5 linked regions of the Canis lupus familiaris genome follow. The protein of the gene in region 5 interacts with the protein of the main gene of each other region in a biochemical or structural test. Links are inferred from orthologs where the notes say so. Each region holds a gene or a part of one and is shown on either strand. Other genes may lie near its edges. The genes, in order: ENO1, HRAS, KHDRBS1, FYB1 and FYN.

Evidence for each region.
Region 1: of the proteins of FYN (region 5) and ENO1, one has a biochemical effect on the other in vitro, tested with the Homo sapiens proteins (2 studies listed by BioGRID). The link is inferred for Canis lupus familiaris from reciprocal best matches to the Homo sapiens genes FYN and ENO1.
Region 2: the proteins of FYN (region 5) and HRAS form a complex in vitro, tested with the Homo sapiens proteins (2 studies listed by BioGRID and IntAct). The link is inferred for Canis lupus familiaris from reciprocal best matches to the Homo sapiens genes FYN and HRAS.
Region 3: the proteins of FYN (region 5) and KHDRBS1 form a complex in vitro, tested with the Homo sapiens proteins (4 studies listed by BioGRID and IntAct, with this or other methods). The link is inferred for Canis lupus familiaris from reciprocal best matches to the Homo sapiens genes FYN and KHDRBS1.
Region 4: the proteins of FYN (region 5) and FYB1 form a complex in vitro, tested with the Homo sapiens proteins (2 studies listed by BioGRID and IntAct). The link is inferred for Canis lupus familiaris from reciprocal best matches to the Homo sapiens genes FYN and FYB1.

Annotation. Positions count from the first base shown.
Region 1 is NC_049226.1:62,796,832-62,802,331, reverse strand, and holds part of ENO1 (alpha-enolase), read left to right. Parts: intron 1-175; coding exon 176-234; intron 235-2,216; coding exon 2,217-2,286; intron 2,287-2,711; coding exon 2,712-2,845; intron 2,846-3,266; coding exon 3,267-3,489; intron 3,490-4,751; coding exon 4,752-4,949; intron 4,950-5,500. UniProt on the Homo sapiens protein: Glycolytic enzyme the catalyzes the conversion of 2-phosphoglycerate to phosphoenolpyruvate. In addition to glycolysis, involved in various processes such as growth control, hypoxia tolerance and allergic responses.
Region 2 is NC_049239.1:25,992,564-25,998,244, reverse strand, and holds HRAS (GTPase HRas), read left to right. Parts: upstream 1-2,306; 5' UTR 2,307-2,361; coding exon 2,362-2,472; intron 2,473-2,650; coding exon 2,651-2,829; intron 2,830-2,952; coding exon 2,953-3,112; intron 3,113-3,199; exon of another isoform or gene 3,200-3,207; coding exon of another isoform or gene 3,208-3,270; exon of another isoform or gene 3,271-3,747; coding exon 3,748-3,867; 3' UTR 3,868-4,180; downstream 4,181-5,681. UniProt on the Homo sapiens protein: Involved in the activation of Ras protein signal transduction. Ras proteins bind GDP/GTP and possess intrinsic GTPase activity.
Region 3 is NC_049223.1:68,528,502-68,534,001, reverse strand, and holds part of KHDRBS1 (KH domain-containing, RNA-binding, signal transduction-associated protein 1), read left to right. Parts: intron 1-1,229; coding exon 1,230-1,354; exon of another isoform or gene 1,355-1,536; intron 1,537-2,171; coding exon 2,172-2,288; intron 2,289-3,986; coding exon 3,987-4,133; intron 4,134-5,109; exon of another isoform or gene 5,110-5,500. UniProt on the Homo sapiens protein: Recruited and tyrosine phosphorylated by several receptor systems, for example the T-cell, leptin and insulin receptors. Once phosphorylated, functions as an adapter protein in signal transduction cascades by binding to SH2 and SH3 domain-containing proteins.
Region 4 is NC_049225.1:70,767,503-70,773,002, reverse strand, and holds part of FYB1 (FYN-binding protein 1), read right to left. Parts: intron 3,747-5,500; coding exon 3,724-3,746; intron 2,685-3,723; coding exon 2,615-2,684; intron 1,684-2,614; coding exon 1,546-1,683; intron 45-1,545; coding exon 19-44; intron 1-18. UniProt on the Homo sapiens protein: Acts as an adapter protein of the FYN and LCP2 signaling cascades in T-cells. May play a role in linking T-cell signaling to remodeling of the actin cytoskeleton. Modulates the expression of IL2. Involved in platelet activation.
Region 5 is NC_049233.1:68,718,215-68,724,236, reverse strand, and holds the start of FYN (tyrosine-protein kinase Fyn), read left to right. Parts: upstream 1-1,831; 5' UTR 1,832-2,197; intron 2,198-6,022. UniProt on the Homo sapiens protein: Non-receptor tyrosine-protein kinase that plays a role in many biological processes including regulation of cell growth and survival, cell adhesion, integrin-mediated signaling, cytoskeletal remodeling, cell motility, immune response and axon guidance.

The sequences.
Region 1 (5,500 bases), on a different chromosome or scaffold from region 5:
CCAGAATGTACCCCGATTCTGGGGGCACAGAGAAATGGGGATTTGAAAGCTTTCCCGTTTACGGTCTTTGGGTGGGCTTCCAGATATCTGGGTTAACGTCATTGGTAGTTCGCTCAATGCTGCTCAAGCCTGTTTTTCGTTAATGTCGGTAATTTGATATGATTGTTCCTTCTAGGTGTCTCAAAGGCTGTTGAGCACATCAATAAAACTATTGCACCTGCCCTGATTAGCAAGGTAGGACCTGCCTCCTGAGAACTAATGTATTAATGCCTTCAGAGCGTCTCCCAGGCCAGTGGGCTTTCCGGGTTATAGAAGAGCTTATTCTGAGAGCTAAAGTAGCCAGTCGGATTCCCTGTCGTGCATGAGAATTATCTCACCTTTTCTCATCCACCCCCTGCCTGCGTGTCCACATCTAACAGCGCATGGAATTGGAGTACAGTGACGGGAGACCGTCTCATGGCCTTAAATTTTTTTTTCCCCTCCAACTATCTTGACCTTTGGGAAGTTAAAATCGAAATTTTAAGGGCAGCTCTTGGGCATTGAGCATAGTATCTGTGGTGACTATTTTTCATGAACTATGGAATTATTTACTATATTTCTACTGACGTTTTTGAAACAGAGGAACTGTGGTTAAAAATCTTACTTGGAGCCTTAGTGTGTAGAATAGTAGAGCTGCTGTGGGTGAAGTAGGGAGGAGGGGCCAAACAACCCAACAGCCCCTCCCCCCCGGGGCCCTCCCTCCATAACTTGGGTGGCATTTGTGCAGGTCGGGGAAGATGTGCAAAGCCCTGGCTAGAGGAGCCTTCTCTGGGTCTGAGGCCAACCCTGGCCTCCCCACCTGAAGTCCTGTATGCCAGTGGCAGGTGGAAATATGTCCCCCTGGCTCACTCACCTTGGCCCGGCCTTCATGGCACTCGGTAATTGGTCCCAGACGGTTTCTCGTTGCTGCTCTTCAGGCTCACACGCCCCAAACTCAGTCTCCTGGGTACTTCCACACACCCTGATCTTTGTGCCTGGTGCCCTTGCCTGGCGTGACTCCTCATGACCAGGGCTTTCCGGGACATTTTTCTTCCGCTATAGGGGAGACCATCTTCAAACTCCTAGTGAGGATTTGCCCCAAGCCATCATTCCTGGATGATGGCTAACTCCTGCCAAATGTGTTTTGTCAAAACAAATGTCAAATTATTATTTTTTTTTTCAAATGTCAAATTATTAATGTGGCATGATGGGAGTTGGGGATGGTTTTCTTTGCCTTTTATAAAGCACATAATAAGTAGTACACATTATGATCAATTGTGAAGTTTTTAAAGTAATGCTGACATTCAATAAATGAGTTAGTTTTTAAGACACCAGTTTTTGCAGGGGTGGATTTGGGGTTCTTGTTTTTGTTAGTGGATTCCATGCCCAGCATGGTGCCCATTTGGGGCTTAAACTCACCACCCAGAGATCTAGACCTGAGCTGAGATCAATAGGCAAGTGCTTAACTGACTGAGCCACCCAGGCATCCCCAGTTTTTTGGGTTTGTTTGTTTTTGAGTAATCTACCCAACGTGGGGCTTGAACTCTGAATGCCAAGATCCAGAGTTGCCTGCTCTATCGACTGAGTCAGTCAGGTGCACCTTTAAGATACCAGTTTATTGCTTTATACTCTGACCAGAAATACTCATCTAGAGCTGTCATCAAGCATCTTGCTGAGTGATTCTGGGCTGCCTGCAGAAGTCCTGTTTGCCACGAGACAGGGAAGTGTGCCATCACTGGGTATAGCCGAGCGGTGGTGGTGTCACTTAACCTGTGAGGAGCCCAGCTCATTTGCGTGAACAGAGTTCTGCTATGTACCATTTCCACATCACACTATTTTGTGGTGACCTTTGTCAGCATGTGCCAGGCAGTTCTGGCTTCCGTGTGGTGCCACCGGGACCATGTCTGACATATTTTACTGCTGGCCCCGGTCCTTGGAGAAATGCCTGCTGCCAGGAAAGCAAGTGACGTGCGCTTTGGTGCCTCCTGTTTTCTCTCCATTCCCCCCCCTCCCCCCCCCCCCCCCCCCCCGCTTCTTTTTTTTTGCTTTCCAGACACATAACATAGAAGTGATTTGGACTTTGCACAGTTCCAAAGTTAACTGGGTTCTGTCACAGGAGCGCAAAGGTCCTGTGAGGGGTATGACACTGCCGCCGCCACCCCCATCCCCCCGTGACTGACCCTCTCCTCTCCCCGCAGAAAGTGAATGTTGTGGAGCAGGAAAAGATTGACAAACTGATGATCGAGATGGACGGGACAGAGAATAAATGTGAGTGGTCAGGGGTGGAGGCTGCTGGTGTCTCCCAAATACCTTCCGACCCTCTGGGGGTGGTTGTGCGGTCCCCACTGAGGACTGCGCATCAGTCTGGGGGCTTTTCAGGGCCCCCCTCCTCACCTGAATAAATCACGTTTCTAAGTATCAGGAGCAATACCAGGTGACAGCAGCACGCAGTTTTTGTGGAATTTGCCAGAGTTCCATAGACCAAAGAAAGGGCTTTCTCTTGGGAGAAAGCAGATAGATGAGTTCATGTGGAGAGCTGTTGGGTTTCTGGTTCGGATTCGGGGAATAGACGTGGTCAGGAGAGGAAAGGTTCCAGATACAGGCCATGGTATATGCTGGTGTGGGGGTGCAGGCCGGAAGGTCAGCAGGAAGCTGGGAGTATGAAATTCCTCAACTGAATTGTTCTATTCCAGCTAAATTTGGTGCAAACGCCATTCTGGGAGTGTCCCTGGCTGTCTGCAAGGCGGGGGCTGTCGAGAAGGGGGTGCCCCTGTACCGCCACATTGCTGATTTGGCTGGCAATTCTGAAGTTATCCTGCCAGTTCCGGTGAGTGGCTTGGAACTCCAAGTGAGGAGCTTGTGGGTATTTGCTTTGTGGGAACCTAAGACCTCCCACATCTTGGTGTCCTCCACATGGAACTCTCCCAGCACAGTGGGCACGCGCAGGCCCTGGAGGTCTCGGGTGCAGACACCTGCCACTTGCTAAGAATGACCCTGAGTAGAGGACTGTACCCCACATCCCTTACTGCTGATGAGGGAATGAAAACCATACTTGCTGGGTTGTGAATGTTCTCTGAGGTCATAGCTGGTCCTCAGGACAGTAAGCACACCTGGTGGTGACCGCTGCTCTTAGCGGGAGAGACCTGGTGAGCATTTCAGAGCCACACTGTGAGCCATGCAGTCGTGAGGAGGTTGCTTGGGGGCGCTCTCTGGGCCAGATGGCTGTATTTCTCTCTATCTCTCCCTAGGCCTTCAATGTCATCAACGGTGGTTCCCATGCTGGCAACAAGCTGGCCATGCAGGAGTTCATGATCCTTCCCGTCGGTGCAGCGAACTTCAAGGAGGCCATGCGCATTGGAGCAGAGGTTTATCATAACCTGAAGAATGTCATCAAGGAGAAATATGGAAAAGATGCCACCAATGTGGGCGATGAAGGTGGATTTGCTCCTAATATCCTGGAGAACAAAGAAGGTAAAGGCTCTGGAGGAGTCCCCGCATTCCGTGGCACTGCCCGCACGCTTAGCAGATGTGCCGGAACTGTGATGCAGGGAGCTCTGGTCCTTCCACCTTCTGTTCACCAAGCAGACTTCTGGGAACAGATGGGGAAGCTAGTACTTTATTTGTTAAAATAAGGAATTTGCTTATTAATTTGATTTCTGAGTGGCCTGGTTGCTTATTTAAGATTTTATTCTTTTGAGAAAGAATATGGACAGGGGGGAGGGACAGAGGGAGAGGAACAAGCAGACCCCCTACTGAGCAGGGAACCAGATGAGGGACTCGAGCCCAGGACCCTGAACTAAAGGCTCAGATCAGGACCAGAGCTGAAGGCAAACACTTAACCAGCTAAGCCACCACGTGCCCCTACTTGCTCTCTTGCCATTGAACCACCTCATAAGGGCAAAGGTTTGAAGTCCGCACTGTGTCCCGGAGATGTCGTCTGTCCAGCCCGTGACCAGGAGCCCCCCCCCCCCCCCCCCCCCCCCCCAGTTCATCCACTACAGGGCTGTTCACACAGTGCCTTGTTGCCTGGAGCCCTTAGGCACAGGGTTCAACGTAAGAGTTGGGTAGGGCACAGAGAGTCTTAAGAGGAGAACTCACGGCTGAGCTTTTTGTTTTAGAAGGAAAGGAGGGTTCAACCACATTTTGTTGTCTCAGGGACAACTAGTAAAGGAAAAAGCATCCATCCTGCTCTTTGGGTCAGTCATACAAAATGCTGAGGCTCAGCTACTTTGACCTACAAAAAATGACCCTTTCACGTGGTTTAATGGGATAGCTTGGAGATCTGTGGTAGGGAGCAGACGCCAAGTGCCTCTGTCCGCCTCTGTCCGGGCAGCTCTGCCGTGTGAGGCCGCCCTCGAGCTGGAGACAAGAGGCCCCAGAGGCCGGGCCTCACCCTTTTGCTGCCCTCCTGGGTTCCTAGGACAGCGGCTCTCAGCTGGTCACTGTAACTGTCTCAGCCAGCACAGTCACTCCTGGCTGCTAAATTTGGGAGCATGTGTCAGCAAGAAACTCTCTGAGAGGAGAGACTAAATTTTCCATTTGGCCGTCTGCTGGGGGCCGTTTCCAGCAGGTTCTTGCTCCAATGCGGAAAGAAGTACTGGACTCGTCAAAGCGATGATTGGGGTCAGAGTACCTCGTGGTCATTCTGTTAGAGCTCCCCATTTGGCAGCTGCTGAAGGGAACTTTTTTCTCCACCTGCCTGGTTTCCAATCCTGTCGCCAACCTCTTTCCAGCTCTGGAACTGCTGAAGAATGCCATCGGGAAGGCTGGCTACACCGATAAGGTGGTCATCGGCATGGACGTAGCTGCTTCCGAGTTCTTCAGGTCTGGGAAGTATGACCTGGACTTCAAGTCCCCTGATGACCCCAGCAGGTACATCACGCCTGATCAGCTGGCTGACCTCTACAAGTCCTTCATCAGGGACTACCCAGGTGAGCGGGGCAGGCGGGCACTGGTGGAGCAGTGGAGTCAGGTGGTTCTGGGGTGCCAGCCAGCACTGACCTCAGGTGGTAGGTGGTCTCCAGAGTGTGTGAGCCCTCTGTCCCTATCACAGCCTCCTGAGCAAAGGCTGTCCTGGCTCCATCGTGAGCAGAGCGAGCCTCAAGCCTGCTGACTGCCCGTGGGTGACACAGTGAGCTGGCGCTCCTCTAGTCTCTATGTCACTTCACGCACGCAGGGTAGGGACTGTTCCTGCTGTTTCATGAGGGGAACTGAGGCACGGAGTGGGTTAGTAATCGGCCCGAAGGTGCTTAGCAGGTGACGGAGCAAGAATCAGACCAGGAAGTCTGAGTCCCTGCTGGAACAAAGATAGAGAACGTGCTCAGTGGAGCCAGGGCGAGCCCAGCTCCGCAGTCTCCTGAGCCCACAGCTTTTCTCTTCTCGCCGGCACTAAACTCAAGCCACCCTGGACAGGAAGTGTCCCACTTAGCGTCTGTAGGGTCCTAGGGTTGCAGGTGACATTGGTGCCCTGTCACAGGAGTCG
Region 2 (5,681 bases), on a different chromosome or scaffold from region 5:
TGTCCTAGCCACCGCGCAGTGCACGGGCCGGCCAACCGGCCACGGCCTCGGCACGTGCTGTAGGCGATGTGTGCGGGCGGGGCAGCCCCCCCCCCCCCGAGGGGCCCGCCAAGGTCACGGCCTGCAGTGGGAGGGGCTCCACGAGAACAGCGCGCGCCGGCACCGGAGGGGGCAGGACGGGAGGGCGGGCAGGGCCGCCAGAGCGGGGCCAGCCTGGGCCTCCTGCGGGCTGCACCGTTCTTCCTTTTTGTAAACAAGCACGGTGTGTTGATGCACTACTTTGAAATTTAAAATAAAATGTCGAAACCACGTCTTTTTTGAAAGTCTGGAAAAGATGCGGGGTGTGCGTGTTCGCGCTCCGGATGGGGGAGCCGTCGGCACGCAGCCCTCGGGCAGCTTTCGGGCTGGTTTGCAGAGGGCCCATCGTTAACTGGGCCCCGCGCAAGCGTCTGCAGGGCCGGAGCCTCCGGGCTAGGGGGCTGGGCGGGCCGGCCTGCAGGGGGAGGCTGAGGAGAGGGGCGAGGCTGCGGCCCAGCGAGACCCCTGGGGCGGGATCAAACGATGCTCCGCGCCGCGCTGCCCCTTGTGGCCTGGGCGCCCCGGGTGCCGCGCGCACGACGAAGCCGAGGTGCCAGGCGCCCGTTCCGGAGCCACCTGATGGGAACGGGGGTGTAGGGCACCGAGCCCCGGCCATGAGGCCCCAGAGCTCGGGGCGCGGCCCGGCCTGCCCCGGCGCCCGCCTCCCGTCCCGGCCGTCCGCCCGGCGCGCCGACCCTGACCCTCCTCGAGCCTCGTCTCCCGGCCTGACCCCTCCGCTGGGCCTCGCGGCGCAGGGAGCCCCCCACCGCGGGACACGGGCTCCCGCCGGTCTGCAGCGCCCCCGCCCCGGTGCACCGCCGCCCGCGGTCCTGTCGGGCAGCTCCCCGCGGAGGCCGCCGCCCCGGCCCGCGCCTCTCGCGCTCCCGCCGAGCGCCCGCGGGCGCAGCCCAGCCCCCCCAGGCCGCGGCCCACGAGGGCCTCCGGGGCCGGGCACCGCCCTCCGCGCCGCTTCCCGGAAGCCCCGCCCGGCCGCGGCCCGTGACGGGCGGGCGGGCCGGCCAACCGGCGCGGGGCGGGGCGGGCCGGGGCGGGGCGGGGGCGTGGCCCGACGGCCGCGGCCAATGGCGAGCCGCGCCTGCGTGACGGACGGGCGCGGGGCGGGGCGTGCGCGCCCTCCCCCCCGAGTGTCCGCCCGCCCGCGCCCGCAGCCCGCAGCCCGAGCCGCACCCTCCGCGGACGGAGCCCATGCGCTGGGCGAGCCGCGCGCCCCGGCCCCGGCCCCCTTCCCCGCCCCCGCCCCGGCCCCGGCCCCGGCCCCGGGGGCAGTCGCGCCAGTGAGCGGTGAGTGCGGCGGGGGCGGCGGGCGGCGGGGCGGGGCGGGGGCGGCCGGGGCTGCGGCGCCGGGCGGTGGAGGCGGCGGCGGCGGCGGGGCGCGCGGGGGCGCAGGTGAGCCGCGGGCGGGCGCTGCGGCGGGTGCGGGGTGCGAGGTGCGGGGTGCGGGGGCGCCCCGGGCGGCGGCGTCCGCGCCCTCTCCTCCGCGGGCCGCGTGCGGGGCCCCCAGGTCGCCAGGCGCGCCCCCGAGGCCCGGGCGGCGGGCGGCCTCCGCGATGCACAGCGGGCGAGCCGGGCGTTCGCACCGGAGCCCCGGGCACCGCGTCCCGAAACCTCCCAGACCGGGAGCCGGGCCGGAGGCCGCGGCCCAGCGCCGTCCCCGCGCCTACCCCGCCGGCCTGCTCCCGGGGCCGCCATCCCCGCAGCCCGCCGCTGCTCTCCTGCGAAGCTCGAGCGGCCGCGGGCCTGGGGCTCCCCCCGGGACAGGAGGGCCCGGGCCTCGCCCCCGGAGCAGCAGCTGGCGGCCGCGGGCGCTCCGCAGATGCTAGTCCGGTGCAGCGAGGCGCGGCGGGGCTCTGGCCTGCCCGGGCACGCTGCTGCACTCCGCTGTGGCAGGACCTGTTTCTGCGGGGAGGGGCGGTAATCTCAGCCTGCAGGGCCTCCGGGTCCCTCCAGTGCACGCTTTCTGCCTACCCAGCAACTTCTAATTTGGGTGCGTGGTTGGGAGATGCTCTCAGCTGTCAGCTCTCCCTGCTCTCTCGCAGCCATGAGCGCCGGCGAGGTGCCTACCCCCCCCCCCCCGCCGCCCCCCCCGCTGGAGGTGCCACAGGTGGGCGGCTGCGCCCGGTTCCCTGGTTGTGTGGGGCCTGGGGACCGGGTCGGGGCCGGGGTGGTCTGCCCCACGGGGCTGGCTCAGGGCTGAGAGCAGCTTCCTCAGCAGGTGGGACAGGAGACCTCGTTGGCGTCCTGTGCTGCGTCCCGTGAGGAGCCATGACGGAGTATAAGCTGGTGGTGGTGGGCGCTGGAGGCGTGGGCAAGAGCGCCCTGACCATCCAGCTCATCCAGAACCACTTCGTGGATGAGTACGACCCCACCATCGAGGTGAGCTCGCCCAGCCCTGAGCCTGCTGTGGGCATGTCTGCTGTGGGCTCCGCAGGAGGGCGGCCCCTGCTCGTGGGACCTGGGGGTGGCACCTGGGGACCTAGGAGGGGCTGGTGGCTGGGTGGCCCCGTCCTCGGAGGTGTGGGGCTGGGCGTTCTGAAGCACTGGCCTGCCGCAGGACTCCTATCGGAAGCAAGTGGTCATCGACGGGGAGACGTGCCTGCTGGACATCCTGGACACAGCGGGCCAGGAGGAGTACAGCGCCATGCGGGACCAGTACATGCGCACGGGGGAGGGCTTTCTCTGTGTATTTGCCATCAACAACACCAAGTCCTTTGAGGACATCCACCAGTACAGGTGAGCCTCCGGCCGGCCCTCAGAGCCACCTGTTCCTCTGCCTCTCATCGCGTTTCTCTGTCAGGGTCTCGGATGCAGCCGTGCCTGCAGCCTACCGACTGGCTCCCACCTTCCTTCTTGTAGGGAGCAGATCAAGCGAGTGAAGGACTCTGACGACGTGCCCATGGTGCTGGTGGGGAACAAGTGTGACCTGGCTGCTCGCACCGTGGAGTCCCGGCAGGCGCAGGACCTCGCCCGCAGCTACGGCATCCCCTACATCGAGACGTCAGCCAAGACGCGCCAGGTGAGCCGGCTCCCCACCCCGCAGCTAGCTGGGGACCCGCCCCGCCCCGCCCCTGCCAGGGAGCAGTGCTTATTGCCCCCTCTCCCCCGACACAGGGCAGCCGGTCTGGCTCTGGCTCCAGCTCCGGGACCCTCTGGGACCCTCCGGGACCCCCGTGACCCAGCGGCCCCTAGCGCTGTAAGTGTCCCCGGACGGCAGGGCAGCGAGGGAGGCCGGGGCCCAGGGTTTGGGCTGACACAGCTCCAGGGAGAGGCAGAGGTCCCCAGAGAGAGCTGCCCTGAGCCAGGCCGAGTGGTGACCCTGGGGCCCTGGCCCCTGCCCGCAGAAAGCCCCATGGGCCCGTGTAGGCCCTGCCCTCTTTAATGGGCTGTGGGGGACCAGGGTGGTAGGTCAGACAGGAGCGGGACCCTGGATGTTAGAGCTGGGAGCCAGACCTCGGGGCTGCCCTGTGGGGGAGCTCCTGAGGGCCAAGCCGCCTGATGGGGGGAGCCCTGGGGCTGCCTGTGTGGGGGCGGGGTGGGGAGAGGCCAGGGGGAGCTGGGATGATGCATGAGCTTGACGCTGGGGTCCCTCGGTCCCCTGCGCTGCCAGGCCCCCGGGCCGAGCCGCACGCTCAGCCAGCCCCGTCTTCCCAGGGCGTGGAGGATGCCTTCTACACGCTGGTGCGAGAGATTCGACAGCACAAGGTGCGCAAGCTGAGCCCGCCCGACGAGGGAGGCCCAGGCTGCATGAGCTGCAAGTGCCTGCTGTCCTGACGTCCCCTCCAGGGCCACGTTGGCAGCCCCGCTGGTCCTCTGTGCCCCAGGCGCACAGGCTCGGGGCGAGGAGGTGCCGGAAGCTGGGAGGAGGCGCGGAAGGAGGAAGGAGGAGGGCGAGGAAGGAAGGAAGCGCCCCCGGGGCCCGGCCAGCCCAGGCCCCCTGGACAGGGGGAGCACGGACCTCCCAGGGCGCTTTGCACAGACTGTCGTGAACTGAGGCCACGGGCCCCCCCGGCTGTCACTCTCCCCCAGTCCCGTCCTTGCCCGCGGGGCAAAGGCTGAGTCGCAGTAAATTATTTGATGGTCTTGACCCTGGCGTATGGCCGCACCTGCAAGGCACGTGGGGACGTCAGCTGTGTGTGCCTGGCGGCGCCCCTGCAGGGGCTGGTCGGGGCCGGGAGGTCCCCCCTCCTCCTCTCTGGGGGTGTCTCCACACCCCGTGCACAGAGCTCCGGGAGACGCAGAAACGAGCCGGCCGTGCATTTTCACACAACACCTTATTGAACTTGCAACAGCAAACGGGCTCAGAGCCGAGGGTGTGCGCCTTCCCCTGGGAGACCTTCCTGTCCTTAGAGGAAAGCGGGAATCCCACGGGGGTACGGGTGCTGGAGTCGCCCACTTTGGAGCCTGTGCGGACTCCGGGTGGGGGTGTGTGTCCTGAGGTTGGGGTGTTGAGAGGCGGTTCTGGGGACAGCAGAGCTGGCCTGGACCTGCGGCCCATGGGCTCCTGCTCTAGGTCCCCGCAGGGCAGCTGGACCCCGGCCTCGGGCCCACTGGGGCCGGGTGACTGACTGCTGGAGCCCCAGCACGTGGAGGAGCCTGCCTCCTGGTGTGGGTGCGGGTGGGGCCCACGGGCCTGCCCCTGCTGCCCTGCCCTGGGGTGTCCCGGGATCCCCAGGGCTGCCCTAGGTCAGTGACCTGGATCTGTGGGGCACGCCCAGGGCCCAGGAGGCCACATCCGGCTCTGAGAGGGCTCGCTCAGCCCGGGGCCAGAACGCAGGCCTGGCCAGGGCCCCGGAGCACTGGATCCCATTAGTGCTGGGCCTGGGGGGCAGTTCTCGAGTCGCCCCTGCCCCCACAGAGCCTGGGGCCAGGCCAGCCCAGGTCCCTCTGGGTCAGGGGTTGGTGTCCTGTGCGGGGGGTGCCGCCCTCCGGGAGGGACAGCAAGATGAGGCAGGGCACGGTGACGGCGGGCCAGAGCCTCTGGGCCCCCGCACTCACCACCACGCTCTGCCCGCGAGCATTGAGCTGCCCTGTGGACGCAGAGGGCAGAGGGTCCCGGGCCTGTGCGGGGCCTCGGGGCAGCGGGCTCAGCGCCGCCCTGGCTCTGCCCTGGCTGTGCCCGTCACTGCCCAGCGAGAGGCATGAGCTGCAGTGGCCGCGGGGCAGGAAGGGTGTCCTGGGCCCGACAGCGTCGTCCCTAGGGGGCTGGGGGGACCCCGTGATGGGAGTCCCGGGGGTGCTCCAGGGCCTGGTCCGTCGCGGGGCCTCTGGGGTGGCCCAGGCAGGTGCCGAAGGGAAGGGGACCCCGTTTTTTGTCTTCAAGCCCACCGTGTCCGGGGGCCACCTGCCCGCACCGTCTTGTTACACTGGGAGGGTGGGGAGGGAGTTCCATCGCTGGGGGGGAAGTTGGACGATGGCCTGGCTGGGAGGGGGTCCGGGCGGCTCAGGCTGGGTGGCTGGGCCCGGGGAGGCCTGCTCCTCCACCCTGGGCGGTGGCTCAGAGGCCGGAGAAGGGAGGAGAGGCCTGGGCGCCGGGGACACTCGCTTCAGGCCGAGGGGCCTCGTGGGGAACTCCAGGTCCCGCTGGA
Region 3 (5,500 bases), on a different chromosome or scaffold from region 5:
ATTAGGGCAGACACATTCTCTAAAATAAAATATTTTTTAAAATTATAGAATTTAGAAACTGTGGGAATAGTATATAAGGAGGATATTTGGTGTTACTTAGAATGTTCCACTGACTTTAGGGAGTATAAATTTCTTTTTTGACTGTTTTCAGTGGACCATATAACCTTTTGTTGCTATTCATTGCCTTTGCGCACACTGCCCCATCTCTGTTAGTACTCTTGTCATAGTACTTAAGTGTATTTCACTGCCAACTTCATAGACTGGGATTGTCAGTGTATAAACATAGTGAAGAGGGAGATCATATTTGACTTATTTTGTTGTGTATCCTATACTTTATAGGTTAGATGCCTGGCCCTTGGCAAGTCTCCCCTAGTGGTTAATGATCATTCCTATATCTCTCCCTTATCTGCCTCTCCATAGGAAGCACTCAAATGCTTCCAATGAGTGGATGAAGTTCCCTAATTATAGGAGATCTTTTTGGATACTAAGATGATAGTTTCATCTGATGAAACTGTCTTAACCTGGGAATTGAAAGTACCTTGGTTTTCCTTTAGGACATTGAATTTGCCTAGATAATGTTGACCGTATATCAAGCACTTCCTAGGAAATGGGTTTTAGTTGGTGTGTGTATATACATTATTTTACTCGGTCTTTATAGCAGCCTCATGTGAAGTAGGTATTCCCCCCATTTCACAGATGAGGAAACCAAAAATTAGGGCAATTAATTAAACAACTTTTGAAAGTTTACACAACTAGTAAATGGCAGACTAAGAATGACGTCTTTCAAAAACTCTTAAGAACTACTATGATCCAAAGCTCTAATATCACAGTGGAATTTTAATGGAACCCTTCATTTTATTAGTAACTTTTGTTTCTTCATCAGGACTGTGCTCTTTTTTTGATACAGACTTTTTATTTTTAAGTCATTTATCCTCTTTTCCCCATCTCTCTGCATTTGTTTTGTTAAATTCATTTATTCTTGAGAAACATTTGAATGGCTCTGATGTAGAGGCTTCAGGTCGGGATGGAAGAGCAAACTACTTTCATAAGAAGCAACCTCTGGGTTTCCTAGTTAACTCTGTACACCTTTGATGCTTTCAGCCAGTCTCTATCTGAAATTAGCACATTCATCTGAACTATTTGGTCTTATGTTGTTTTTGCTTTATGCAGACTTGGATATTTGCATTTAGTTACCAGAACAAAAACTGAATTGTGTTTGTCTTATTCAGAAATTGAGAAGATTCAGAAAGGAGATTCAAAAAAGGACGATGAGGAGAATTACTTGGATTTATTTTCTCATAAGAACATGAAGCTGAAGGAGCGGGTACTGATACCTGTCAAGCAGTATCCCAAGGTAAGGCCAGACGTGCCTCACTTGGTTGTCTTTGTAGGTGTGAGAGCCACGGGCTATAATAAAGACTTCTGGAAATTGTGATGCATTAGGTCCTTGAGCCTGTGAAGCTTCTCTTCCATACTTGTAGTACTTGTTTTTGGTAGTTGAAACATCTGAGTCTGTAAGTAGCCGTATACCTATATCTAGGAAGGAAATATCAACTTTTTATTACCAAAAAGAGTTTCTTTCTCAAACATTCAGGCTCCAAGTTCAAAGAAAAAAACTGAAGAGTTGCTCTCTGTCAAAAGATTGATGTGGGGAAAAAAAAAGATTGATAAAATCTCAATACAGGGAATATAGCACAAATCTTTGACTAGATGAAGTTAATTTTATTTCTTAATCAGTGTTTTACTTTCAAATAAATACTTTCTTGTTTTTCTCCTCCTCCTCCTTTTTTCCTTTTTTTAAAGAAAAGAAATTAGTTATATTTAGTTTACCAAACAAGTACTATAAAAGAATGCCATATGTCTGTTCTGTAGTCACTGCCTTAAAAATATTTGTTTGTTGAAGCAGTAAGGGTTGCAGTGTGATAATTTGGAAAGAGCACTAGACTACATCTGGAAACCCAAGTTCAAGTCTAGGAACTGCTGCTTTCTATATGTATAATCTTAGACTATTCATTTTTTTCAGTGTATCCTCAGCATATCCTTTTCAGTAAAATAGGAATGGTAATATGCACCCTATTTTGCAGGGTTGTAGATCAAATGAGACAGTAATACATGTGGAAGTGTTTTATAGGAACATACGTATTTAGAAATCTATTTTTCTTTTCTGTCAGTTCAATTTTGTGGGGAAGATCCTTGGACCACAAGGAAATACAATCAAAAGACTGCAAGAAGAGACAGGTGCAAAGATCTCTGTGCTGGGCAAGGGCTCAATGAGAGACAAAGCCAAGGTAAGCTCACATCAGTGAGGCAAAAAGACAATGCCTCCTGGAAGCCAGTACTTATAAAAATACAGAATGTGAATCCCTTAAATTTGTGTTGGGTGTAAGAGATTACAGACCTAGTTAATTTACTTGTTTGGCAACGCTGGAAGAGGCTAGGTGTGCCCTAGTGGTTTTTTTTTTTTTTCCTGACTTTTGACTGCCTCGTAATAGAAGCAGCAGTAACAACTTTCACATTTGTAAGCTTGTCTCTGAAAACTTGGAAGGGAAGCTGTATATGCTAAAACTTATCCAGACTAAAGACACTAAAATGTGAACAGCACATTCCCTTTCCAGTAACATTGAAAAATGAGAGCAGTAATGTTGTGAGTACAGGTGAATCTGAGGATTAGTTGTCTGGGTTTTTTTAGAGCCAGTTGGAATGTAAAGAACACTAAAAGAAAGTATTTCAAAAGGAACCATAGTAATCCTGACAACAGAACCTAATGCTAATTTTTTTTCCCATGTCGTAGCCCATGAGCTTTGTATTCTTTATAAGCACTCAAAAAAAAAAAAAAAGAAAGAAAGAAAGAAAATTCTACCAAAACAGAATAGTCTTAGCATTCTAGGGTCAGCTTTTTAGATGAGATATATCAGGTACAGTCTAAGAACTTAGTCATTCAGGGCTCCTTTTATGCAGCCTAAACTGATGAACATTGTTTTCTTTTATCCACTCACATTTCTCACTAGATGAATACACTTAGGGCTGAAGTATGTTATTCTAGCTAATGAGATTTTCTTCACTCTATCCTGACTTCTTTCCTCCCCTAGAACATCCCAGACAATAAAAAGAACTGGTACTGGGACATCTGGCTGACTTAGTCACTAGAATATGTGACTCTTGATCTCAGGGTCCTCAGTTCAAGCCCCACAATGAGGGTAGAGATTACTTAATGAATAAAAAAAGTTTAGGGGCACCTGGGTGATTGATTCGGTTAAGCATCTGACTCGGTTTCAGCTCATGTCATAATCTCAGGGTTGTGAGATCGAGCCCTGCTTTGGGCTCCTCACTGGGCATGGAGCCTGTTTAAGATTCCCTCTCCGTCTCCCTCTGTCCCCCCACCCCCAAAATAAATAGTATTTTTTTTTTTTAGTGTAAAAAAAAAATGAAGAGCCTGTGCTCAACAGCTCTACCTAGGATTGATTGATTGATTGATTGATTTAAAAGATTTTATTTATTCATGAGAGACAGAGAGAGAGGCAGAAACATAGGCAGAGAAGCAGGCTCCATGCAGAGAACCCAGTGTGGGACTCGATTCTGGGACTCCAGGATCATGCCCTGGGCTGAAGGCAGACACTCAACCGCTGAGCCACCCAGGCATCCCTCTACGTGGAATTTAAAAACAAATGCTTGGCAATGAATGAATGCATGCATGCTTGGCAAACAGCTTATATCTGAATGAAGACTGGAATTAAGTTTCTCTCTTCTACACCTAGTAAGAGCTGCAGTGAATATACCATGGACTCAATACAGTGGTTAACTTTTAGTAGCAGACCAAATTACAGGTTTAGCAGGTTGTGTGAATTACTATCCTCTAGACTTTGTTTGCTTTTGTCTTACACTTTGCTATTTTTCTTAGATATTTAATTTCTTTCTCTTTGAGCTGGAAATAACTATCATTTTCTCCCATTCTATGTGATGTGATGTTTTTCTGCATTTTTCCATAGGAGGAAGAGCTGCGCAAAGGTGGAGACCCCAAATATGCCCACTTGAATATGGATCTGCATGTGTTTATTGAAGTCTTTGGACCCCCATGTGAGGCTTACGCTCTTATGGCCCATGCTATGGAGGAAGTCAAGAAGTTTCTAGTACCAGTAAGGAAATCCACATCCTATATCTTTGAGCAAAAGAGAACTGGGATCTTGTACTGTTGCTAATAAGGCAGGGGTTCTTAATCATGATCTCTGCATAACCTGAAATTGCATACCAAATTCTGTATTTATGTTCATTTTTCTGAGGTAGTGTGTTACTTATACCTAGTTCTCAAAGCACTGTGCCCCAAAGCTACTCTACCCCTCCTTGTCTAATGTGGTTTTGGTTATATACCAGGATCTATTGTTAGTATCTTGGGTCTGCAGTGTGTCTGGCGTTTTAACATCTGATTAACAAAGATTTAACAGTCTTCACTGAATTAAGTGTGTTGGTACTAGTGTGGAACCAGGAGGTTATGATAAGAAGAAGGCTAAGATAGTCGTAAACTCCTTGTACTCAGGGGTTAATGTTCTAGACTTTGGAGAGTGTAGAAGATAACAGCAAGAGGCTTCTAGCATCCAGTGTTAATATATTAAATTTTGACCTGGGTGCTTTCAGGGCTTTCTCTCCTGGAGGAATTTACTGACATGGAGTTTAATTTGAAAGAGGCATGATTTTATAGTCTTGACTATTGATATTAAACAAATTGGTGTGCAGTTCCTTTCAGAGTGTAACTGAGGCCCACAAAGAATTGGGACAGACCAGGTTACATATCTTGCTTATTTTACCACCTGGTCAGAGGGTCCATTCTTTGAATAAGCAGAAAATGTTGTGATTTTTGCTCAGCAAGACTTATTAGTTGTCAGAGTTAACAAACTACAGTTGAATGTTTAATAACCAAGGATGAATCTGGAACCTTAGGAAGTATGTGAAATACTCTTAGCTAGAATTGAGTAAGCATCCTGTTTTTATCACTAAAACTAATAGGAGGTGAGATACAGTTCTTGGTTTTCTTGAATATGCAAAATGAGGAGTTGGAACTATATGTGTCAGAGGATGTGAGAATTGGTAGAGCAAAAATTTATAGGCAGTGTGTACCTATAATGCTGAGCTTCAAGAATTTCAACACTGTCTCAGATGTCTCAGCAGCTGCTTGGCTTCCAAGTACTTCATCTTCGTTAGAATGTTCAAACATGAAACAGCCAATTTAAAATATCCTAGAGAAGAACTCAGAGCTGGTAAATTTTTCCTTGAGGGAGTCCTTTTTACTCTTTTTGAGGTGTTCTACTGAAGCATCGTGAGCCACCTAGTTCCTGAAGGACTATAGGGGAATGCCCATCTCCTCTTTATCCTTAGTCTCAGCATATTTCTCAAAAGGGATGACTTTGCAAGGTTTTGATGTAAGTGGATCTTCTAAAAAGATGCCTATCAGGCAGATCTGGGTTTCCTCCGTATTGGTGTAGCATTTCGAAGAATCTAGACAAATGGG
Region 4 (5,500 bases), on a different chromosome or scaffold from region 5:
TTAGCTTTTATTACTTACCCAATTGTTTAGGAGGAGAAGGGAAACTGGAAAGAAAATGAGAACACATTTATAATCAGACCAATATAAACGAGAAATTGAGACCTTTTATTTAGGGGAGGCATGAACAAGTAATAGCCCAGAGGCTTCAGACTGCTAATTAATCTATTTGATGGTCATTCCTTTCTCATCTCCATTTCTCCACTGAGTCTCAGCTCCTTTCCATCAATTTTCAATTTTGCAAGACTTTTTTTTTTTTTTTTTTTAATTCCAATGGTGGCCAAAAAAGTCAAAAGTCAAGGTATCCAGTGGTTTATTTTGCCCATAGCCATCTATTTTTGAGGTTCTTCCAAATATTTTCAGATTTGTTCTCTGAAGTTTGGGCATATTATCACATCAGAGTAAATTAAATGGACTCAATGTTTTGGAGTCATTGTGGCATAGCTCAGGTCAAAACTTTTTATTTGACTTAAAGAGTAGAAATGAACAAAGGTCATAGGATTCTTTCTATGACCATGTTTTCCCAAACAGGAGAATGGTGAATAAGAGAGGAATATCCACTGTAGCCACAGAGGAAGAGTTTATTAATCTGAAATCAGCATTGGGTGGCATTTAGTTGCAATCTAATCAGTAATCTGAAATCAGCATTGGGTGGCATTTAGTTGCAACAGAAAAAGGCCTTTGCTTTTATAACTTTCTGAACTTTAAACACACACACAAACACACATCTCTAGAAGAATGGTGCACAGTTATACTAAGGTGTGAAAGGTCATTAGTTCAAATGACTGAAAATCAAAATTAGGAGGTGTACAATAGGAGCAAGAAAAATAATCTCTGCCTTTATTTCTAAGTAAGGTCATCATTTGAATAATGCTGTATCAAGAGAGGATTTGTTAAAATCAAAGAGGATTTGTTATGTTTATTTACAATTTTGAGTGTCCTGTTTACTAGGTGTTGATTTTAGGTCTCACAGAAGAGTTTAAAATAAGGAATTCTATGTGGAATTAACATTTAAAAAGACATTAGTGAAGTATGGAGAATCTGTTGAGCTACCGAGACGTTGAATATTTATTTAGAGAAAAGAAATTCCAAATTTTGTCCTTTACTTCCAGCAAATTAATTTTTAAAAGAGGATGTATATTTTGAAGGGTAGTCACTATCAAATATTATATAATATAATGTGGCCTTGGCATTGTGAGCTTTTAGATATGATGCTACATTTAAAAAAAAGTTCTACTAAACGCAGTATGTAGGAGTATGTGAGGGTGTGTGTTTGTGCATTTGTGTGTGTTATCTGCACATGTTTGTTGGGAAGGCAAAATATATCTTTAAACCATATGATAATTTTTGAATACTTTGTGTTCCTCTTACATAAATGCGTGAGTGTAAGGGTGACAGTAAATAAGGCTAAAATGACTAATGGAAAATGACATCGAAGTGACTTAAGCCTGTCAGAATTTGGTTATTGGTTATAAAATATTAGTAGCATTTGATTAAATTAATATTAGTGTAGTTATTGTGCACTGGATTTGGTTGGTTGACTCTTACGATGAACCTTCATTATTGTCTGACTCAGAGACTTTAGGTTTCTCTCGTATACTTTTCTTTCTGTCATCTTTTCCCTTTAACATCTTCAAAATCCCCCAGGACCACGAATTACTCTTCTCTTCAACCTGTAGTGTGGAGCTTAGGAGCATGCAGGCATTGATCAGAATGGAATCATCAATGGAATGTGAAGATGGGTGGACATTCAGATTTTTTATAATTATACTGCATTGATCATTCAGGCAGTAAGTTACTCATTGTAGTCACCAAGATGATGCTTTTAAGTTTATCGGCCACGGTCTTTGAATATTGCTGCTACTGGTAGGTAAGTTATTTTTTTCTATTTAGTGAAATATCTCTTGGTTTTAAAACAGCAAGCTAAATCAAAATTAAGTTATAAGTGTCAATTTTGCATTATTTTATGTTTAAAATTAAGTGAAAATCTTTGTTTTAAAATATGCCATTATAAAAGTTTAAACACTTAGAGAATTAACACTGTTTTTTAATTTTTATTTTTTAATTTAAATTAAATTAATGAACATATAGTGTATTATTAGTTTCAGAGGTAGAGTTCACTGATTCATCAGTTGTACATAACACCCAGTGTTCATTATATCATGTGATCTCCTTAATGCCTGTCACCCAGTTACCCCATCCCCCTCAATACTAGTTTTGCCACAAATAGCATATGGTTTCATTTTATTTGGATTGCCTATAACTATGGTTATTATCCAGAGGATAGCCATACAACTGATAAACTCTCCAGAGATTATAGATTGATAAAAAAATGATTGTGAAAAGTTTGAAAAAAAAACTACAACACTGATAATTCTTTTTTATTTCATTTCTTTTGACAAAGTTGTTGAGATTCTTCCAAATAACATGCCACTTCACTTGAAGTGTGGTGCAATTATACTTTCTGACTTACATCTGCTATTAAGTAAACATTCAAACTATTATTCGTGTGGTAATAAGGAGCACTATTTTTTGTTTTTTTATTCAAACCAGAAATCGACACTAAATTTCAGTTGGCAAAAAATTTTCAAGAAAGCAGTTCACTGATTATTCTTACCCATCATCAGCATCTTCTTCTTCAATCCCATCATAAATATCATCATCTGGGGGAGGAGGTGGGAACATCCCTTCATTTGGATGGTGGGGGAGAGAAACTTCTGTTAATTTTATAATTTGGTCATGTAATAGTCACTCAAAATTTGATAATAAATCTGCCTTATTTAAACTGCAGAAAATATCCCTGTTCCTTATTAACCATTTAATTAAAGAATAACTTTATTTTCCCACTCTTACATAGATAGTAGGTAAATTAATTGTTTTGTTGATTATTTTTAAAGGAATTCTTAGAGGTGAAATTTGAATATTGAATATGAAGGATAATAAAGGGTACTGTGCAGTGGGGAGAATAAATATGAGAAAAAATAAAACTGAGTTGAAGATAGAGTTAAAATATTGTGGAAAAGAGGAGGGAGGAGGTGATAAGAAAAATTTAATTAATAGTGAGGGGACATTCAGAAAAAGAGAATGATCAAGATATAAGTGAAGAAAAACAGAATTAAACGTGAATTTGTGAATTTTGGTGGTAGCTCTGATTCATTTAATCAAAGTGATATTTTAGGAGTTAAAAACCCTTTGCTGTAAATCCCCAGGAACCTTGCTATTTGACAAATATTTATTTATGAAATGTTTATTGAGTACCTCCTCCTTGCAGAAATGTGTACAAAGAACTTATAATCTGACTTTTAGGATGAGAATTTTAGCACTTCAAGGTATTAGTAAAATACCTTTATTTTGGTGATGAGGATATGAGGAGTTTTTAGCTGTCATAGTTAAGGTAACCATATAAGTTATCATCCAAATAAGGATACTTCTGAAAGTGAAGGGGGATACTATTAATAATTGTGCTCAGACAATTGGCATAAATCAAGACTGCCCTGGGCACACTGGAAATAGAGTCACCCTATAACCCATAACAAACTTGGAGGAAAGAAGTGACTTGTTTAGGGTCACTCAGTGGTCAGGACTGCAATCTAGGTCATTAGCTCCTAATCCAGTGGTACCACATTAAGATCCTCCTCATTATGTGCAAACAAAAGCATCTTGTTATTAATATAGACAAAAATGGTGAAGACATAAAGAAATTGCTGATAAAAGTGTGTGGCTTACCTCCACTTCCACTCTGACTGTGGCTAGGAAAAAAATAAACAAATTAAATGAGCTTATGAATTATGTAGCTAATGGGAAGGAATTGCCTATATTGAACAGTTATGTAAAAGAGAAATAACACTGCAGTTAAAAGTTATCAGGATGTTGTATGTAAAGAGGAAGAAACATTGTTCCTTATCATAATAGAAACAAGGCAAAAACCAAACCAAAACAAACTAATAAGAACCAAGTGAACGTTAGTACTACATAAAGTCTTCAAAACAATGTTACTGTTTGCTTCTAACATTTCCCGTGAGGTAGTTTTCAGGTTATACATTATTATATCATTCTGTAGATAGATTTATGAAAAACAACCAACCAACCAGCAGTATTGTTCCAGGAGTCATAAAGAACCATTATTGCAATTAAATTCAATTCTCTTTTAATATGTTATACCCACAACATTTTGATCTTAGTCTAGTAGCATTATAAACTTTTTTTAAAGGGAGGGTTTCTAAAAACTTGGAATCTTACAAAATCTTATTCTTTTTTTAAAACAAAGATTATTTATTTGAGAGACTGCGCATGCACATGTGCAAATTGGAGGAGGGGCAGAGAGAAAGAGGGGGATAGAATCTTAGGCAGGCTCCACACCCTGAGCAGAGCCTGACTCGGGGCTCAATCTCATGACCCTGAGATCATGATCACAGCTGAAATCAAGAGCTGGGTGCCTAACCGACTAAGCCAACCAGGTACCCCGAAATTTTATTATTATTGCAAATAGTGTGGCCCTGAATTTTCTAAATCCATATTGTCTGTATTTCGTATTTATTTCTCTAACATTTTGTGTTTTCCCTGTTTTATAATCATCTGTTTTCTTGCCTGTGTCTCCCACTAAAATGTGAGTTCTGCTACAGCACAAGAAAAGTAGATTGTGAGAACTGGGAAAATCTCAGAGGACTGGCTTAATCCCCTCATTTTGTAGAAAGGAAACTGAGGCTCTGGAAAATGAAGTGACCTGACCAAACCCACTTTTAATGAACAGAAGAGCTGACATAAGAACTTCGGCATCCTGCCTTCCTCCATAATGTTTTGTCTACACTTCGCTGCACCCTCTGTAACTAGCATTTTTGTACTTTGGATAATCTGCCAGCAACAGATATCAGGCTAATATTATAACCATGCAGTATTAATTATACACTTGTATCTGATTCCTCAACCTTAAAGTCAGAATAAAAGAAATGTTCTAACACAGGTCTATGGTTAATTTAGGGGAAAAAAAATACCACCATACTCTAGTTAATGAAACTTTGTAGAAAAACATGCTATAAATGTCCTAATGTGTAAATAAGGAATTGATTTTTGATGAAGTTTAAGTATATTCTCCACTTGCTTCCATACTGTTTTCACATTCATTTTGTCTGACACTTCCCTTTGAGCGTGAAGCAAGCAGTTAGAATTATGTGAAAAATTGCAATTTTGGTTGGCTGCCACTCCTGGCAAATACATTTCATCTTGGAGACTCTTCTACCAATTCCCAACGAACAGAGTCTTAATAATCAGGAGCAAAGCTGCCACACATTATTTTATTTTTAGAGCAATTCTTTAGCTTCCTAAAATGGTCCATTTGGCATTTACAGGATGAAGTGGAAGGAGAGAAGCATGCTGGAAAAGAGAAAGGAAGGAAAGGAGGGAAGGAGAGATGCAAAGAAGTTTGGGGAGCGGAGAAGCAAGTTTGCTATGTGATGAAGTATTTGCATGTATAATTTCCTTTTCCTCAGTGTCTCATATTTATCAC
Region 5 (6,022 bases):
CCTTCTGGTAATTCTGAAAGATGCTAAGGTTTGAGAATCATTGTTCTAGACAATTGCCTCTCCTGTCGCAATTCAAATCTAGGACAGAGGCTAGTACTAAGGAAGAGGAGCCCCTTCTCTCGAGATCAACAATTTTTGGCTAGATGACGTTGGCATTCTCTTGTAATGGAAACCTTTTATGCGTTGTTGTGGTTCCATTTCTTGGGACCGTGGAACGAATTCCCAGACACATAATTTGAATATGGCATCATTTATCACTTTAAGGAGGAAACAACACCCCGCAGTAATCACCCTATACTATCCCCTGGAGTTTAGTTACTAAGTTCTCTTGCCCTCAGTTTCTTCATCCATAAGATGGAGATCCATTAATAATGTTGGTAATTTTTTTTGAAAGTTTTCATTTATTTTTTTTAGTAATCTCTACACCCAACATTGCGCTCGGACTCAGGACCCCCAGATCAAGAGTCACATACTCTTCTGACTGAGCCACCCAGGCACGGGGGCAATGTTTTTCAAAGTACTGTGTACAAAAAAAAGTCAGCAAAAGTGACTGATATTTTTAAATTCTGGTTAAAAAACTAGTGGGCAGGAAAGGTAATATAGATTTTGAGCATAGAATCAGAAGCTAATTCACTTCTATTTCTCAGAACATTAGATTTGCTGAGGGGGAAGGGTAGGGTTCTTGCCAAAAGCACTAAGGAGAATGACTCTGAGCATGCCTTAAAGGAGAATTTTCAGTAAACAGGAATTACCTATAAAGAAAATCAGGAAGCCAACGTGTTTCTTTTTATGAAGTTACATCCTGCCATAGAAAAGCTGGATAGGAAATAAAGACTGATGCACTCCGAACTGTATACTTAACCGGCTATTAGTTCATCAAGGAAAATCTGAGCAAAAGCTGAGATTTGGTGAAGGGGAGGGGGGGGAACCATGAGTAGCGAAATGTCACGAGAAACCAAAGACAACCAACAGCTACAATTATACATGGTTTTGGGGGGAAAAAAACTATACAAACAAATCTCTACTCTGTGATTTCAGATTCCTAAGTCGCCACCTGCCCTCTCCACCCCTCCCCCTATTTCAATACTACTTCTTCCAGGCTTTTGCTTGAAAATAAATGTGTGCGTCCACGGAAATGCAAGAGTAATAGATTAATCTTAATCTCCTCCTTCTCTTTATTATTATTGATATTAACTGTGCGTTTCCAGGGTTCTCCGGGTCTTTCGGAGTTCCTGGGATTGGATCTTACCTTGCTCCACACTCCCCAGTGTGATGAGCGGCAACATCCTCACCACCTAACCCTTTCCCAGTTTACCCTCCCACCTTCAAATGAAAAGGCAGCAGAAGGGCAAGAGAGCCCTTTCTCCAGGCAGGTTCCCCTGGTTTTGGGTGCGGGGGGTGGGGGGGGGTGGGATGGCAGATGCCTTTCTGCAGTGGCAGCTGCAACCTCCCGCAAAGCAGGAGCTGCAGCTCGCACTGTCCCCTCCTTCCCCCGCCCGAGCCCACGACCTCGCGAGTCCACGCGATCCCCCGGAGCACACACAACTCCTCCAGCCTCGCATCCCCTCTCGCAGCCCACTCGGCACGCGCGCCAGGACGCCTGCTGCCACAGTAACGCCCCGCCCACTCGGCGGCCCCGCCCCCGCCGCGGCCCCGCCCCCGCCGCGGCGGCCCCGCCCCCCGCGCCGCGGGCACCAATGGCCGCCGGCCGCAGCTCCGCACGCGTGCTGCGATAGGCCGGCGCGGCCTGCCAGTCTCCGCGCGCGTCCCGCCCCGTCCTCACTCCGGGGCTGGGGCTGGAGGGGCCGGAGCATCCGCGCGAGTAGCTGCGAGCAGCCGCGGCGGCGGCGGCGCGTCCCTGCAGTTGCGCCATCTGTCAGGAGCCGAGCGGCGGGGAGGGGGCTGCCGCGCGGGAGGAGGAGGGGGCGCCGTGAGCGGAGGCCGCCCGCGAAGGCAGAGGCGGGCTGCCCCGGGACGGAGGAGCACGCGCGGCGCTGCAGCCCCCGCGCCCCGGCAGCGCCCGCCGCGCACAAAGCCGGCGAGAGGGATCCGGCCGCCGGCCCGGGCACACGCGGCGCCGCCCCCTCGGCGCCCTCGGGAGGCCCCCGGCTCCCGGGCCCGCCGAGCCGCCTCGGCCGCGCCGGAGGAGGGCGGGGAGGACCATGTGCATGGGCTCCGGAGCCTGAGCGCCGCGCAGGTAAGCGGCCGCGGGGGGCGGGGGATGCTGCGGAGACGCCCGCCCCCGCCCGGCGCTGCAGTCTCGCCGCCGCCGCCGCCGCCGCCTCCGGGGCGCCCCGCGGGGCTGCCGGGCTCCGGGCCGGCGCGGAGCGGAGCGGAGCGGGGGACGCCTCTGCGGGGCGCGGCCCGGGGGGCGCGGGGATGCGCGGGGGGCGAGGCCGGCCCGGGCTCCACCCTCGCCCTCCTTTCGGGGGCCCCCGCGGGGACCCGGCTGTGCGTGTGCGCGCGCGCGCGCGCGCGTGTGTGTGTGTGTGTGTTGTCCTAATGTCAGGGATGATGTAATCACTTAATAATTGATGCCCCGTGCTGCTCCCCTCCCCAGCGCACCCCACCCCTGCCCCACTCCCCCTCGGCCTCCTCCCGCGGCCGTCGCCGTCCTCAGCGCATCCTCCTGCCTATTTCTGGCACCTCCCTAGCACTTCCCCCATCCTCCCCTTCACTCTTCCTGTGCCACCACCCACCCAGCCTCCCCCGGCCCCCGTGCTGGAGCCCTCGGCCTCCTTCCTCTGCCTCCCCACCCCTTCTGCTCCCCCAGGCTCCCTTCTCCTCCCATCCCTGCCCGCTGGGCTTCCTCTCCACTTCCCCACATCGAGGACTGTTTTTTGTCTGGTCGCCTCCGCCGCTCTTATCTCTGCGGCCACAGGCGGAGGGGACCCGGCCAGAAAGAGGCCACCGAGGCTGGGCCCAGGCGGAGATTTGCTGGGACTCCGTGAGAAGAGGGATAATAAAAATCACCCTTCTTGCCCCTCCTCCCCTTAATAAATCACACAGACTCGCCGGGTGTGTGTGTGTGTGTGTGTGTGTGTGTGTGTGTGACACAAAGAGCCCTTTCAGTGCACAGAGAGGAGACGCACAAAGTACCCAAGGATGGGCACGATGATTCTTATTTCTCTTCACTAGGGCTTCCCTTTCTCTCAGATAAAGCAGTTGATTTTCTCTCCGAGAGTCTTTCCTGCCACATTGACCAGAATAAATAAATAAATAAAAGGCCCCAGATGCTGCAGGGTGGCAGGTGCTGTCATTTTGCCACATTCATGGACCCAGTGCTGTTGACTGGCAGCTGCAGTGTTCCTTAGATTTAAGGGGGAAATGATGCCAGCCGTCTCCAGAGTTGCTTCACTGTCAAGGTAGCCCTCCTCTGCCTTGTTTTAACCTCCTCTCTTCGGGGGATAGGTACTCAAGAGCTGGGGTGCAAAACATGGGTGTGGGGGCAGAAGAATTTTGCTTCTGCATCAGATAATTGGCGTTTAGTAAGAGCGAGGCAGCCAGACTTCTTCTCTGAAGTCTTAAGAAATGCTGAAGTCTTGAAATGAAATTTCGTCTGCCCAGTGGTGTTGTGTTGGCCTTATATTTAAACAAGTTTCTGGGGACATCAAAAAAACATGGCCTAAGTTGGTATTTGGAAGACCACTGGAGACCGTGCCTCTTCCCTGCTTCAGAGTAGCCTTCAGACACCCACATCCTTCCTCTCACCACCCAAGCGATGGCAATACTTTCCACCCTTTGTGCTCTTTCTCCTGAGTCCTGATCCCATGGGTACTGTGCTTGCAGATGTAGGGACTCAAAGGCTTTTGGAGGAAGTGGTTTGTTAACTATCTCATGTTTGGGCACACTTAAATGAGAGCAAAGGATGTAGAGAATCTTGTGAAGGAACTTTGAACCATCTGTTTGGTGTTCCTCTCAAAGAGGAAATGTTAATGTAAATCTAGAGGCTTAATGTTCCATTTTGTAAGCCGGTGACCATTACATGCTTAATCGATAATGTGAAAACTTAGTTTGAACCCCATTGATTCCTAAGAACATGGCTCCTTGACTATTGTAAGGAATCCGTTTCAAGTTTGTGCTTCAAGAATTTTATCAGAAAAGAGTTATGATTCACTAAACATTTACTTCTCCACTTTCTAAGGACATTCATCGTGGACCTTTTTATATTAAAAAAAAAAAAGCAATAGGGTTAATGAGTGTACTGTAAAAACAAAGGGTTGTTTGTTTGATGCCAGACCCAGGAAGGAAAGTCAGTGCACAATAAGCTCACACTGTGTTGACCAAGCTAAAGAGACTTAATGATAAGGTTGAATGTGAACAAATGCACACTCTGCTTTCTGTATTTACTCTATGCTTTGTACTGGGTCTGGACTCTCCAATCCCATCTGATTTTCTTGGGTTCTATTTAACCTTTCGGGCTCAGCTCAAAAGTCTGATGCTTTTTCCATCCTCCCCTCCAAACAAATCACCACGCCTCCAATTTTGTTTTCAGACTTCAGCAGTAGGCATTACGTTTGGCATGTCTCTGTTCCCATCATTAGTCGGTCAGCACATTGAGAGAAGGAAGCTGGACTTACTTATCCTATATCAATAAATGTAAATTAGGTCTTTGGTATGTGCCAGGCACCTGGACTCATTAAGCTAATTTTAGCAGCTATAACAAATAGGCCTGCAAAAATGTAATGGCTCAAAAGCAATAGATGTTTATTATTCCTCATGTAGTAGTCTACTTTTTAAATGCCTTGGCCTGGAAATGACACCCATCACCTCCACTCACATCCTGTAACATGAGGGTGAGTTATTTGGCCACATTTAATTGCTGGGGAGCCGAGGAATCACAGGTTAGCCCCTTGACAAAGAAAAGAGATCAAGAAGAAGTGTATTTTGGGCCAGCAGCTTTGCCATGTGTTGGCACTCAACGAGGCACAGTCATTGCCCTCAAGGAGCTTGCAGGCTGATGAGAATTAAAATATATGGAAACCTGGAGCCTGTACCCATCAGTGTTTTATTCTTTTGATTTCCTGAGTTCAGACCTTTTTATTTTACACGTGTTTTAAAAAACTTTGCTTTTTGTCGGTTCAAGCAGCTAGTTCCCACTCAGTGACTACTTTTAATACAGGGATCTCATGCCTCTGCTGTTGACTTTGATATGGTTCTTTCACTCCAGGAGCACCTATTTTTGGCCCAGGGTTGTTGTTGTGTTTTTTTGTTTCTGTTTTCTTGCTGATTTTTAGACTCCCCACGTGGCTAGGAGGATCCTTAGAAATCACAGTTCCACCTTGGCAAGCAGACTGCAGAGGAGGAACTTCTTGCCTGGGGCCATGCTAGTGGGAAGGGAGCCCCAGCAGGCCCAGATCTCCCTCCACCTGGGCCCCCTTCGCCACACAGCTGCCCTGACTTGGTGACTGTGACTGCTGTGTATTCCCTGGAGACTGAGTGAGCTTCCAGACCTCCAGGAGCAGGGCAAACTGCTAGTGTTCTGGATAGTGTCTGTTCTCCACAGGCCTCCAAAGTGTTGGAGCAATGCAGTCCATACTATTCATCATACTTAATAATGCACATATTTTTGCTACAAGCAGTTCATTATATTCATCTGTTCTGCAAACATTAGCCAAGTGTGTTATTGTGTGCAAGGCACTGGGAGATAGGGTCATGAAAATGAATGCTTCTGCTGTCTTTGCTCTTCCAGGGCTCACAATCTGCTAGAGGAGATGAAAACAGATAAATAGTAGCTAACTTTTATTGAGCATTTACTATGTGCCAAGCAGTGTTGAAGTTCTAGACCTTTTTTTTTTTTTTTTAAAGATATTATTTATTTATTCATGAGAGATATGAGGGGTGGGGGCCGAGACACGGGCAGAGGGAGAAGCAGGCTCCATGCAGGGAGCCCGACATGGGACTCCATCCTGGGACTCCAGGATCACGCCTTGGGCCGAAGGCAGGCGCTTAACCGCTGAGCCACCCAGGGATCCCCTGAAGTTCTAGTCTTAACAATAATGACATGATGTGGTTTCACTTG